Astyanax mexicanus: one gene and its partner. The protein of the gene in region 1 binds, or shares a complex with, the protein of each later gene. Links are inferred from orthologs where the notes say so. Each region holds a gene or a part of one and is shown on either strand. Other genes may lie near its edges.

The links. The genes of interacting proteins can lie anywhere in the genome.
Region 2: TATA-box-binding protein (region 1) and taf10 share a complex: the UniProt entries of both Homo sapiens proteins name them as parts of the TFIID basal transcription factor complex. The link is inferred for Astyanax mexicanus from reciprocal best matches to the Homo sapiens genes TBP and TAF10.

What each region holds. Positions count from the first base shown.
Region 1 is NC_064414.1:38,658,912-38,666,832, reverse strand, and holds the start of TATA-box-binding protein, read right to left. Parts: upstream 3,078-7,921; 5' UTR 2,928-3,077; intron 950-2,927; 5' UTR 869-949; coding exon 815-868; intron 437-814; coding exon 99-436; intron 1-98. Other genes in the region: zgc:153169 (N(4)-(Beta-N-acetylglucosaminyl)-L-asparaginase), read left to right, coding at 4,229-4,337, 5,231-5,369, 5,620-5,776, 5,878-5,923, 6,359-6,397, 7,078-7,166, 7,338-7,353, 7,530-7,597. UniProt on the Homo sapiens protein: The TFIID basal transcription factor complex plays a major role in the initiation of RNA polymerase II (Pol II)-dependent transcription.
Region 2 is NC_064419.1:42,554,187-42,561,320, forward strand, and holds the start of taf10 (transcription initiation factor TFIID subunit 10), read right to left. Parts: upstream 3,034-7,134; 5' UTR 2,783-3,033; coding exon 2,632-2,782; exon of another isoform or gene 2,485-2,631; intron 1,527-2,484; exon of another isoform or gene 1,363-1,526; intron 875-1,362; coding exon 717-874; intron 455-716; coding exon 390-454; intron 1-389. UniProt on the Homo sapiens protein: The TFIID basal transcription factor complex plays a major role in the initiation of RNA polymerase II (Pol II)-dependent transcription.

The DNA.
Region 1 (7,921 bases):
ATATGGATTTATAAATGACTAAAATCGCTAGGACAGAAACATTCTGGTAAATCATTGCACATTATCTCTATATCAATCAGTGATACAACAGAACTCACTGTAGTTGGGGGACAATGCCAGAACTCTCAGAGGCTGGTGTGGCAGGTGTAATGGGCGTCATGGGGGTTAAAGGGGTGGTGGTATACAGTGGGGTGTTGCCTGGTAGTACTGTGGTGGTTGAAACTGCTTGCGAGTGGTAAAGTTGGGGTGTCTGGCCTGATGTACCCACAATTCCACCCTGCTGTTGAGAAGCCTGTTGCTGCTGCTGCTGTTGTTGCTGCATCTGCTGCTCCTCTAGAAGTGACAGACTGTTGGTGTTCTGCACTGGTTGTGGTGTAAGCCCAGTGCCATACGGCATCATTGGGCTAAAGATGGGCATGCCAGGCGTCATAGCACCCTGCAGATGAACAGAAATCAATAATAAAGCATGACTTGTTCAGAATGATGAAGCCAGTGTTTACACTAGTTACATTTTAATGCTAAACTCAAATTGGCACTTTTTGCATGACTCATGTCTACGAGGATGGCAATATAAATTACATAATTTGTGCATTAAGGTTAAAAAAATAGTCAATATTATAAGTCCACAACTTAAAGGCATAGTTTCACATTTTGAAGGGGTTAATAAAACATTCATAAAAGTTCTTAACAGGTACATTTTCTACCATACATGACCCACAATGTGTGTAAAACTAGAGTGATTCATTCTGAATTATTTATGAGACTAAAGTCTGCAAGAGCAGAGACTGGGTATCTGTGTTAGCAATCTGTTCACCTGTGGAGACGACAGGCTTTGTGGAAACGGGGGCAAGCTGTTGTTCTGCTCCATGCTGTCCAGTTATGAACCCAGCAGCAGATTAACAATCTAGACAGAGGTGTGAGCAGAGATGGTGTTCAGATGTCCAGCTTTCTGTTATACAAAAAAAGAAAAGAAAAGCAGTTAGAAGACAGTAGATCAAGCAGCACAGTCAAATATTAAATGTAAAGCATCACAGCATGCACATGGCAAGGCAACAATAATTATCAGAGTTCAAGCTGGGCCTGATAGTTAGTGCCAGGTGGATGGGACATTTTATTTATGACGTTGTAATGGTATTTAACATTCTTCGATCCACATCAGCACGTGTACTGGGAACACACCGTAGAAGGCATTTTCACCCAAAGAAAACAGCACAGTAGATGGTAATGCTCGTGCCCAGCAGCATCTGAATGGAATTTTATATACCAATAATTTCTTCCAAATAAATACCAAACCATATTGAGTTTAGTTGGTATGTTTGCTATGATGTTACAAATGTTCTGTCTTCAATAAATACCTTTACATTGTGGTTTTGTATGTTTTTTTCTCTCTCAATTTCATTAAAAAAAAAAAACATTACTTCTACTTAGTTTCAGCTTTTTATTTCAGCTTCTCATCTTTCAAAAAACCCTATCCATGTAAATTCCTCCATGTGGATAGAGTAAATTTGATTGTGGCTGGATGAGAAGTACATGCATAACATTCCGAAATCCTGTTTTTTTACAATCCATCACACCTGCACATCAAGTCATACTCCAGCAAGAACTCAAGCTCTCACAATGTTCCACCTAAGCTCCTTTATTATATTAGCTTAATACTAAAAGGCATTCATTTTTTCAATTGACATATATGTGGATGAAACAGGCAGTCTAATGCATCCCATATTTGTCAACATTAACATTTTAATACGAGTCATTATTGCTTTATAGATAAATTTGTTTGAGGGGGTAGTGCACTATAGGACTCTGTGGCACAGATACTTCAAGTTTATATTTCTCTAGTATCCCTAGTATCTATACGTCTACCCGAGTAATGAATGTAAATAACAGACAACTTTGTTTAAAAGCACATCCATTCAATGTGTGTCAGATCAGAGAAAATTCATGTGGGTTTCAGGAAGTTTACAGAGTACCAATGAGCTCCTTTCAGACTCTCCCGCTAAGTGCAAACATTACCACAATAACACTCACTCATCCTCACAATCTCACAGCCCCGTGAAGAGAGCGAGAGAGATAGAGAGGCAGAGAGAGACAGGCAACCACAACTAACAACTGGACCTTCCATCATATCCAAAAATACATTTATTTTGGTATGGGGAGCTGTTTTAGTCTTAAAAATCACATCAGCAAGTTTCAGTGTAGATATCTTGAATTACTATGTCTACTGGTTAAAAACTTCATTATTGCTAGATGTGTGTAACTGGATTGTTTCTCCTATTGCTAAAATATTACGAATAGAGACGCTTGAGGCTCGTATATTTCTGTAATTATGTTTAGATAATTTAGCTAATGTAAACACACTAGCTACAATAACCTGCAAACGTATCAAAACCAATAGCTATTTTTTTCTTATTAAATGAACATACAAGCGAATTAAAGCTCGCAGAATTTAAGTGTAATTCATTTAACGCTAATTATGAAAAGCAAATGAGAAAGAGCGAATTTTTTTCCTGTAAGAAGCGTTGTTGAACAGAAATCAGGTCACAGTGAATGAATGGCGCTGTTCGGATATACAGCTACTGATTTTAACCAGAGTTAAAGCTCATATATTAATTAACCACTCAGCGATATAAACCCGCAGACTACACTAATCACGCAGCCCAAACTGCAGCTGGACAGCGCGTTAGACTCCAGGCAGCCCCGGTTAGATAAAGCGGAGGCTCGGCTGGGTCCAGGTTGCAGAAACCGCTGGTTAGCTCACTGTGCTAACTGTAGCCTGTCGTCGCTCCAACACTAACCCCCGCACTGGAACAACCAGCCGCTACAGTATCAGCACGGCAGAAGGGGCAGCCGGAGACCCTGAATATTACAATACACCCGTTAATCATTAAAACACTCAGAAATCAGATTAAACCCGCGTCTGATTTTACCTCCCCTCTCTCTGTGTCTCCGGGTGCGCGCAAAACACGGGACTTCACAGCAAGTTCCGCCAGCTTTACCAAACCACTTCCGCTGCTTTATATAATACGAGCACTAACCTCCACCCTCCCAAAAATAATATATAATGCATAATATAAATATGATATAAACGACTCTAATCGACCATTTAACTCCCAAAAATATATATATCCCCTCCTAAAAAATAAACATATATAATATAAATAAAATATAAACTACTCTAATCGACAATTTAACTGCCCAAAACTGCCTATAAATATATATATATATATATATATATATATATATATATATATATATATATATATATATATATATATATATATATATATATTACATATAATATAAACGACTCATACGAATAATAATAATAACAATATCAATAATAAAAATAAAATATGAAGTTTAAAAAAACGAAGATTTTTAGTTAAGTTTCACTTGTTTTTTTTTTTAAACCTCCAAAGATTTACATGAATATTAAAATATGAACGACTCTCTATCGATCACTATACATGTAATTTATTACTTATGAGTTCTAAAAAAATATTGATAAATAAATAAAAAAAACACGAATTAATTTTTTAAAGATTTTATTTGTTAGTTAAGACTTTATTAAGTTTTTATTTTGAAATTCTCGATTCTTAACTCCCTAACGCGGTACTACCAGAGATAGATAGTTTATGCCGAGACTGCTTAGTTTCTATCGCCCACGTTATGTCAGAAAATTACTGTGAACCGCTAGAGGACCCCGCGAGTGAGTTGGGGTGAACTTAACTAAGAACTTAGAATGAAGTATATTACTAAAAAATAAAGAAAAAAGTAAAGAAAACGTTAGTAAAGAAATATTACCATTTGTCTATAGCAAAAAATGTTTAGATAATAGAGACGCTGGCATTTCTACCACTGTGAGCTGAATGGTAAATATATTTAAAAGCTTTAAAGCCATTTTTTCGGTATTTAAAACATTTTAAATTGTTCCGTGTTGAGAATAATAATACAGTTTTCCGTATTAAAGTGATCAAACGTTTATTAACTATGGTTTTGCTCATTTACTCCATGGAGCCATTCATTTTGGGCTCATTTGTGAGCGCCCTCATGTGGTCTAACAAACTCATGTATGATTGTTATTGTGGATTAAGTGGGTATTCTCCTCTATTGAAGTTCTCTGGTAATACTTCAAAATATCAACCAGGTATTTTAAAACTCCTCACTGACGGCTCGTTCATCTGCTGTGGAGGTGAAGTCTGATCAGGGGTTGACAGTGACCCGCAGGATGGCAGCAATGGGGACCTGGTCCTTCTCTCAGCCCGCTGTAGAGAAAATGCGCTCTATGATTCTAGACGGACAGAACGCCACTGATGTAGTAGAGAGAGCAGCTGCAGGTAACCACCATTAAACCCTCTACATTAAAACTGTGCTTTCACTAGAAAATGAGTTTTAAAACACTTTCTCCTCTAAGCAATGAATAAACAGTTGTGTTATAGATATGTTATACAGCTCTGGAAAAAAAAAAATAAGAGACCACTTCAGTTTCTGAATCATCTCTCTTATTTTGCTATTTATAGGTATATGTTTCAGTAAAATAACCATTATTGTTTTATTCTATAAACTACGGACAACATTTCTTCTAAATTCCAAATAAAAATATTGTCATTTAGAGCATTATTTGCAGAAAATTAGAAATGGATGAAATAACAAAAAAGATGCAGAGCTTTCAGTTCTCAAATAATGCAAATAAAACAAGTTCACAAAAAAGTGTTAAACCAACCAGAATATGTTTTATATTTTAGATTCTTCAAAGTAGCACATCTTGCTTATTTGGCAGCTTTGCACATGTTGGCATTTTCTCAGTCAGCTTTATTTGGTAGAGTCACCTGAAATGGCTTTCAGGTAACAGCTGTGCCTTCTCAGTTGAGTTGATTACTTGGAATTCTTGCCATCTTAATGTTTTTGAGAGCACCAGTTGTAAAGATGTAAAGGTAGAGTTGGTATACAGTAAAGAACAGCCCTATTTGAGTATTCTAATCCATAATATGGCAAGAACTACTCAACTAAGTAAAAAAATAACTTTAAGAAATTAAGGTCAGCCAATCTGAAAAAAGACTATAAAGTCTTTATATTTAAAGTTTTTATATTGGCCTTTTGGAGCCTTATTCTTTATTTTTCTTTTACTTGTTTTATGAAATATAGTGAGAGGTTAAGAAATAGAATAGCAGTAAACAGTAAAGCTTTGTTGAAACTCTATTTACCGGGAGTGTACAATACTTTTTTGCAGATGTTGAGAATGATGTGGAGACGGGTCGTCACATAGTCGGAAGAGGAGGCTTCCCCAACAGCCGGGGGATAGTGGAGTGTGATGCAGCAATAATGGAAGGTGTGCCAGGGAGATTTGGGGCAGTAGCTGCATTGCGAGGGTAAAGGGTGATGTTGATAATGTTATTTTAAACTGTGAAATGGCTTTATGTAATAAAATATCATATTGCAGTATTTAGTGGTACATTAATGGCATTAACTGGTATAGATTATTCAAAGGGTAATAGTTATGTGATTGTAATGCACTATGGAATGCACTATATGATGTGCTAATTGTTTTATTTGTTATACTTTTTTTTAGTTGTATTATAGTAAACCTAAATCTTAATTTTAAATGTTTTATGTTATCAGAGTAGGGCAGCCATGCCGGGTGGCACGAAGAGTAATGGACAGAAGTCCTCACAGTTTGCTAGTTGGTGAAGGAGCTGAAGCGTTTGCACAGGAACAGGGCTTTACCATTGAAACCAACGACAGTATGCTCTCTAGCCATACACTCACTGCATATCAGGTACTCACACTGAGTGTCAGTTTTTTACACATCATTTTATTTCGGTATCACCACACAAACAGTGTAACTTACAGTAACTTTTTGTTAAATTCCATTAAAAGGAATTCCTTGAAAATGGTCAGCATGCTAGTGGTCACGATACTATAGGTAAGCATTAACTTGAGCTAGTGTCTTATCTCTCTCTTTTGAATAAATGTAGAATTGTGAGGTACACAAAGAAAGCAGTTTCAGTCTTTTTACAGTACTCAGGCCAATAGAATGTACATCACTGACATAACACTGCAAATATCATCATTTTTAAAATAACTGTAATACTTACTACCCAATCCTTTTGGGTCTAAATAGTTAGATATCTGTCCAAGGCCTGGTTACTTTATAACTACACTCATTCCTGTCAGAAGTTCAAACAACTTTTGATAGATTATTTCCTGAGTACGCCTAAACTGCAAACTGGATTACAATAGGTTTTACATTCATTTTGATACACAAAACTGAAAGTAGAAAAGAGTTATGATGATATATTAAATCTATAAGAGTCATGTAAGATAAAGGCATTTATCTTGTGTTTTTTTTAATGGCAAGGCCTCATTGCTCTGGATCTTTCAGGAAACATTACTGTTGGTGAGGAAGACTTTCTTTCATTTTGATGTGTTTGTTTCTGCAGTGTAAAGCAACATTATGTAGCATTTTACTAATAAATAGCTTTAAAATCTTACAATGCTCCACTGACATGAAATAAGTAGAAATTTGTCTCCATCATTGCTACTTAGCACATGGCTTAGCACACTGCCAATGGGATATCTAAACAATCTGTAACCCAAATCACATTTGTGTAAAATTTCTGTCATGGTTCTGTATCTCTCAGCGTGTCCAGAAAAATGTGTCCTCTAGTGTTGGCTCAAAGCTCCAGTTACACTGGGAGCCCAGGAGCAAGAAATGCCCATTTTCAGTGCTGCTTTAAATAGGCTGCATTACTCTGTTTGTTTAGAGAGCTTATAATATGAAGTAGGTCATACAAAATAATGATTTGTAAGAATTGTAAAATTATAAATTTTAAGGTTTAATGTAAATGACTTACTTAACATATTTGATGTCAGTAAAGGAAGGGTTCACTAAAGACTGTTAAAATAAATTAGGATTGATCTTAAAATACTTCTTTGTTTAATCCTTTATTTAATGTATTTTCTAATTAAAAATGTACACAAATTGTAAACAGTATCTTTACATGCAAAGAAAACTACATTATATTAACACATTAATAAGCCTATAACACTTTTGATTTGTTATTGCTTACACTACAGGGGTTTCCACATCAGGAGCACCCTTCAAAGCTCCAGGGAGAGTGGGGGACTCTCCACTTCCTGGCAGTGGCCTTTATGCTGACCATACCGTAAGCTCTTTATCATAACCCTGCTATGCTGGTGCACAAACCTGCATTCAGGACAGTTCAGTCTGTTTCAGGACATAATTTCCATTCAGTTTCCTGTAAAGTTTACATAAAATTTCATAACTATTTTAGACTTGAGGAAATGTGTATATAATTCTGCTTCCTGTGTTTTAGGTTGGTGCTGCAGCAGGTTGGTATTTTCTGTTTGTTTCCTTAAAGGAAGAATAACTTTGCTGTTAGTCACTGAAAAGATTTATGTAAAGCCTAAAGTCTTTGGTGAAGCTGTATACAGGCATATGAACTTTATAACATGTTATAAGTGATGTTAGTGACCTGTTGATATTTTGTGGGTGTTATTTCTGTTAGCTACAGGTGATGGGGACAAAATCATGTGCTACTGTCCTAGCTTTCACGTCGTACAGCTAATGAGACAGGTATGTTTATCTGTATTTATTATTAAGTAAAAGTGGGCAATTTGGCCTTAATATAATCATGATATTTCAAGATTTTATTTAGGATATCAATATTTTTTTACAGTATGACAACTACTTGGATTTTAGATCTGTTCTCTTAGTACTTAGTCTTCTCTGTGATTTTTTTTTTAACTTGTCATATACATAAACAGAAATGTACCTTTGTATTGTAGAGACTTTGAGGTCAGTAGTAAATGAATGGTTTTGGCGTTTTGACTTAACAATGAGCAGGGTGTAAAATGCACACAATAGCTGAGGTTTCTGTACAGTTTCCGTTTTTCATTC
Region 2 (7,134 bases), on another chromosome or scaffold:
TCCCAAATGAGACCTTTTCTTGTGGGAGATGCTATTTTTCTATTTGCTCTGTATGATGGAATGGAGTTAGTCTGAAGCCATGTAGAAATTAAACCCAGTCTTCGACTATATAGGATTTTAACAGGAAATGCTATATAGTCAGGAAATGCATTCCAAAACTAGGCCTAATCTTCTTCTGAGCCCCGACCCTGTGAGACAATTACCTGGACCAGGATTAAGCCTAGCCTAGACTAGACTATATTCTCCTTTTAATGGACAAGTACAGTGTAGTCTATGACTAGGCCTAATCCCTGACTAAGAAATTGTGCCATAATGTTTCACAAAATTACTCTCTAAAACAAGTTTAACAATCAACTTATTTATACAGAGTACAAAAAAATGACACTTACATTCTCGGATCTGATGCTTCAAAGCCAGCCCGGTTGAGATAATAACCGGTAACAGCATCTGGAATCTAATGGAAAAGAGATTTATTCAATTAAACACATAACCGTAAATTACGTAAGAGTCTGGGAACACCCAACATTAACATGTGTTTCTGGTGATCGGATTGCGTATAGATTTTACAGATGCATTTAAATGGATGTGTTAACAAAATCCATTCAAAGTATATCTAGATGCTCTCTAAATTTAAATAATCTGTTAATTTCAGGTCAACACAGGTCCCAAGATACAATAGCTGTTATGGAACACAAGTGTAAAATTGTGTAACTCACTGTAGGAGTGTAATCTTCCAGCTGCATCAGGAAATCAGCCAGTGGTGTGGTTGATACTACGGGCTTCACGTCTCCATTGGCTATTCCTGTGGGCACGTAGAGTCCGTTGGAGACCGAAGAGTCTGAGGATGGTGTTGCCATTGCAGCTGAGGTCGGCACTGTTTAAAGAAAGAGAAAGAATGACATTTAATTGCATATATATGCAAGTATAAAGATGTCTCAAATAAACACAGTAGGTTGAGCTACTCTAACCTGAACCTAAAGGTGTGAACACACATAGTTAGTCCTTGTAGAAAGTTTTTGCCAATGATACTGAAATCATTGGGGCAGAATACATAAACTTACTGGAACCAGATACCAATGTATTCAGACACTGTCTCCTGATTTAAACATACACATTTAATATGCATTTATATTAACACCAGCACTTTAAAACAAAAGATTGGTTTACGTAAATAAGATGTCTAAAATCAATTTAGTGGGCTGTTATATTAAGAGCTGCTGGAGTCATTACCCACACTCTGATAATGTTGCATTTTGTCTCTTTTCCATAAATCCAGTCAGAATTAATTCCGTCATTTAGCTTCCCTTGACTTATTTACTGCCCACCTGTCTGGCCCGACAATGATGGATATTTGACCATCAGGTTCTTCTGTTACCTGTCCGACCAGACTGATGGAAGTCTCCGGATGCCAGGTTTTCCAGTCACCCACAACAGATCAGCTGCTCACCATCCACTTTATGCCAACAGCCTCTGACTAGTTGCTCACTCTCCACTACAGATTACATAGAAGTTTACATGAACTCCAGGTAGGAATCTTCTAACTGCTCCCACTGCTGCTGAGGCTATTTACCTGAATACACTAGACGTATGTGGATGTATAATGACTTTTAACATAATTTGAAAGTTGTTAGATAAATGTAAGAACCCTCTATATTTTTATGAATTTAGGAATTTTCTCTATTTACAAATAGGCCTGTCACAATAATATTTTTTTGCAAACAATATGTTGTCCCAGAAATTATTGCTATAAATTCTATTTTTGGCATTTTAAGACCATTAAATGGCACTAATATAATGATAACATAATATCATATCAAAGGAATTGCACCCTTTTAAAGACAATAAACTTTACATTTCTGTTGACAGACCTAATTTTGGAACCCAAAAAGTTCCCAAAGTAGATTATAGTCATAAATGATATATGTAAATATACACCATGATGTGTAGCCCCGGTCTGTCCCAGCTGGCCCACGTTGGACCAGCACAAAGCCTCAGCTTTCACACGAGAGATACTCTGACGGTGAGAGGAAGGCTGAGGCAACACAAACCTAAGAGACACTGAAGTTAATTGACTAGAGCCGCACTGGACCGTAAGTATGTTTGTTTTGGGTGTTGATTTTTTCATTTTTCCTAATAAAAAGTATGTTTTTAGATTACGCCCACAGTCACAATATATGTAAGTGTCTCTTGTAAGTGCAAACACAATGGAAGACAACACAATGGATCACGATTATTAAAATAATTGAGCTTATGTTCAATTATTGAACATGTCGATAATGTAATTATTGTGACAGGCCTATTTACGAGTTAAAGAACTACCACTATTTATAAATTTATAAATAATACTATTCATGAAGTTAAGGTGGCAGTGAAATTAATGGTTTTAGTTTTTTTGTTGTTGTTAAGTTAGATTTTTTTTCCCATGTTACAAACAAACGTTTCCAAGCCTACTTAAACCTCTATCTAAATATTTTTTTTTTCTAGCCAAGAAAAACTTTATTATAAGACGCAGCAGAGCCGCCGGGGAAAGTAAAAACCCCGGGGTTGATTACTGGGTCCCCGGCCTGGACTGGCCGCCGCTGTATTAGAGCGCGGTTAACCCGGGCTGGTTAACGCTGGTGATCCACTCACCGTTCCCGCCGGACGCGGAGGGGATGCCGCTGCCGCCGCTGTTCGCTGTGGAGTTGCTGTTGGGGAGGCAGTTGCTGCTGCTGCTGCCTCCGGATGCGGAGGAGTTCGCCGCCGCTCCGCTGGAGACGGGCTGGGGGGTGTCGACGTTCATGTCGGGCAGAGACCCGGACAGCTCCCGCTACCTGCTACCAGCTCCTAATAGCGCTTTAAAACAGCCCCGGAACCGCCTTAAACACAGCGAGAGCGTTTTAAACGGGTTTTAAACTCTCTCTGTGGTTAAAATAGTAAAATCTGCAGATTTAATACCCAATAAAACTCGATATTTCAGCCCGAATCCTCCCGCTGTGTTTATCTGCGTCTCAACACAACAGCAGCGAGACTGCGACCATTACCGGAAACTCTACAAAATAAAAGTCTGTATCAGGCCTGCTGTTTTTGTGCGCTGTACAGCCATATCAAAATAAAAGTCCTTAAGCGACTAATTCTGAGCGTGTTTAAAAACAAAATGAAAAAAAAAAGAAACGAAAGAAATAGTATAGGATTTAGGAGTGGGCGATATGGCCCTAAAATAATATCGCGAAAGGTTTTTTTTTGCGATAGCGATATTCTTGACGATATTGCAAAACGTTTGTACCTTTATAGGCTTTTTTTCTACTGAAATTAATTTCATTAATTAATTTGATTTTGTAAAAATTATAGTGTGACAAAATAACTAATGTAATAAAATAATGTAATATCAAAAATAACAACAAAAATAGTGCAACATATTCATGCATATAAACTGCAAACTAATAAAACGTAAATACAGTAAATAACAAAAACAAAATAGATTGCTAAAAAATCTCATTATTAGGAGATATTAAATAATTATCTTTATTCTGCGATACTAAGTTTTTATTTTGAGAGGCCGAGTCGTTATTCTGAGATACTGAGGCGTTATTCAGAGATACTAAGTAGTTATTTTGATATACTAATTCGTTATTTTGAAATACTAAGTCATTTTGAGATAAGTGGTTATTTGAAGATGTTGACTTACTATCTCAAAGTCATAAGAAAAAAATATACGTGATGGATTTTTAGGTGGTGGGAATGGGCTTCTATTGACTACTAATGTTACCTAGATTTGACATTTCTAAAATAAAATAACCTTGAATTTTCTATCTCAACAAAAAGAAAAAAATTAGTAAATATTTAGTGATCAAATTAAAAAAAAGTACAGTAATACAATAATATAGCAATTGTGGAAGGCCTGACCCAACAGTGTAACTAAACTTATAATTAATTTCCATATAGGCTTAATACAAATAACACTACATATTTGTGTTGGAGGTTTTTTATAATAAATGGATTTATTTTGACCAGACACCTCTAATTAGAAACTGCCCTTTATAAAGCATATGGGAAGTCAATCACCATAACATTTCAAACACAACAAACACATAACAGACTTTAAAATGCTTTTATTGCCATAATTATAAAAAAAAATAACTACATACATGAGCCACTTAATAATCAGAAGCCTACATTAGGATGAAACAACACCACCAGCTGATGCAGACAGGAATATACAGGTAGAGATGGCACAAGAATATAAAATCATGTTCAATTTTTTTTTGGAATGAGAATGTTAAAAAGCTGCATCAACGAAAAAACGGCAATAAATCACAGCTACTTTTTATTATTATTTTTGCTTTCAGTATTTTCAAGATCTTACAGTTTTGGCCTGAAGAATTTTGTATCAAGTGCAAAAATGTTTCATCCTTGTGTTGCATAATTACACTGCACAAAAATCTGACTAGGAACTTAATATTACTGCCATCTGAAGACATTTCAATAGACTGAGTTTTTGTTTAAGACCACTGGTAGAACAAAAAAAATACAGAACACACATTTCCTAACCAGTTTGCTGTTACCCTAGCCAGTTTATTTGTTTATCATGAGTCAACCAAAAAACAGAACAATAATGTGAAGTGATGGGATGTTCCAAAAGACTGAGCTGAAGTGTTGATAGGTCACACACTTAAAATCTTGATGAACTGTTTAAACATCACTGAAACATTTGGCACAATGCTGAACATAAAACACAAAAAGATAGAAAAAATATATGAATGAAAAAACACAAAACATGTCAAGGAACATTTCAGAATCCCTGCAAACGCTGGAGTAATAAAACTGAGTGTAATTGGCCCTTTACTGTAGTATGTGCCAACAATGTTAAACACCTTTATAAAGGAGGCCTAAAACATGAGCTAGACATTATTTTAATGGGAGTTTATTCCATTAAATAGAACATAAAAAAAAAGATTTATTCTAAAGATCTATTCTGGGACATCCATTACCTCCATCCATTTAGAGCTGCTGGTAAATGCTGTCAACATCTACTTAAATTTCCAGTCTCTATCATTCAGTATTACTGGTAGAAACTCTCCAATCAGAAAAGAGCTTTAAATAGAAGCATTTCATAGTTCTACTAATGCATGACATCTGAATTAGTATATCAGCAGTGCTGTCAGAACAAAACCTTCTATCTCCAAAATTAACCTTTATTTCAAGAAAAATAAGAAAAATGTGACTCAACATGGAAGTTAAAGCAATATGGTGTAATTTCAAGTAATTCTGGACAATTGGTCACAAACGATTCATCACAAACAGATAATCACACGATGTAAAGAGCAGCTGGAGATACAAGGTTTTGTCCCAAGCGCTTCGATGCATGGCTTGCATTATTTGTACCTTGTTTCAATGCAATTATAGGCCTCGTTTACATTTAAAAAGGTGGTGTTTCCATTATTTTGAAATTAATTATTCATCACTACAGCTCAAAAGATTAAACGGTCCATAAAAATGACATGAAAGGAATGGACAAAAAGGAGATAAAGGGAAAGATCAGGACTGTTAAACTGATTCATGCATGTATTATTATTTTTTTTCCCCTGCATTTTCACAAAACAATCAGACGGGTTGCCAGAGACTCCAAATACACTGTACTGGACGCGTTTTATGAAGACAAGTCTACGCAGGATGTACACAGGATGCATAGCAATATCATCCATAAACAGTTTACAAAAAAAAAAAACCACCCACACAGAATTTATTACAGAATACAGTTTATATATATACGGATCAGCCGACCTCCACAACCACAGTCCTACAGGGACATATGTGACACATACGTGGACGTCTGGAGCACGTCTCAAAAAAATAAGCTCGATATCTGTTCACAAGACCCCTCACCATACAAAACTAAACGCATCTGAAAGTTATTCCATGAAAAAATATTCTATTCTTCTTTATACATTTCGTAGATACCTGGACTGCTGTGTGCTGCCGAACCACTCCACTGGAAGCTCAAACCCAACTGAACTGTTTCTCCAAAAAATGAAGCTAAACTGTGTTTGTTGTATTTAAATTACTGTACTTTTTCTTGATTAGTCTGTTGCATCTCCTGAATTACATGTATTTGCTTACGAGAAAATCGTAAGCAAATAAAAAAGGGGCTAAGATGGTTCTTTGAGGAATATCAGAGACTAAAATTATTCCATTCCAAAAAAAAAAATAAAATAAACGTGTTAAAAACCTTTTAAGATTATTTTTAATCAATTTAAACTTTTTAAAAGGTTCCTGAGGTGTCCTATCTTATCTGCAAAGGGTTGGTATGGCTGCAGGCTTCAATTTAAGCTTGTTTAGCACCAAATTGTCCTTCAGATAAGGGTTAGTTTTGTGTGTGTGTGTGTCTGTGTGTGTTTGCTGCAGTCCTCTACTTTGCTCAGCCTCGCTCTGCCTCCAGTCTGGTTACATCAGATGATCGCAGTCTGCTGTGTTAAGAACTCCCCCTGCTGTTGCATGTAGGTAATGCATTTTGAGTTTCACATTACCCAAGGCGTTACTGCAGCTCTTTCAATGTGTTTATCATATTCACTCATATTGTGATGTTGATAAAAATGCGATTTTTCTAGTGAAGACTGACCAGCTGCTGGTTATTTGGAATTAAACCTGCAGCCACACTAGCCCACTATGAAGAAAATGGAACACTGCTGAAGTACAGCATCTTACAGCATTTTACAAGTAATACTCTAAAGGGAAATTTAGATTTGAGCAGCCAAAACCTGAATCCTTTCAGCCACAACACGATTAACATTTAAGAGAAGCGTCACTGCTGGCAGCGAGGACACTGAAGCGCTAATGCAGCTGAATTAAGGAGGTGGGTTTTAAACCCCAGGAGCACGCCCATGTCTCTTAATACCCCTCCTATCCCATCATCAGCATCTCAGTGTTACAGGTTTTACAGACACACAAACACAAAACACACACTACACATACACACACACACACACACACACACACACACACACGGGGAAGCACTTGGCATATATATGGCATATATATATGTATATATGCCAAAAAATTACCAAAATATGCAGCATATTACCAAAAACTGAGAGTTTCTCGGATGAATGGCCTGAGTACGCTGCCCCAGCAAGACAGAATTAGGATCAGAATAAA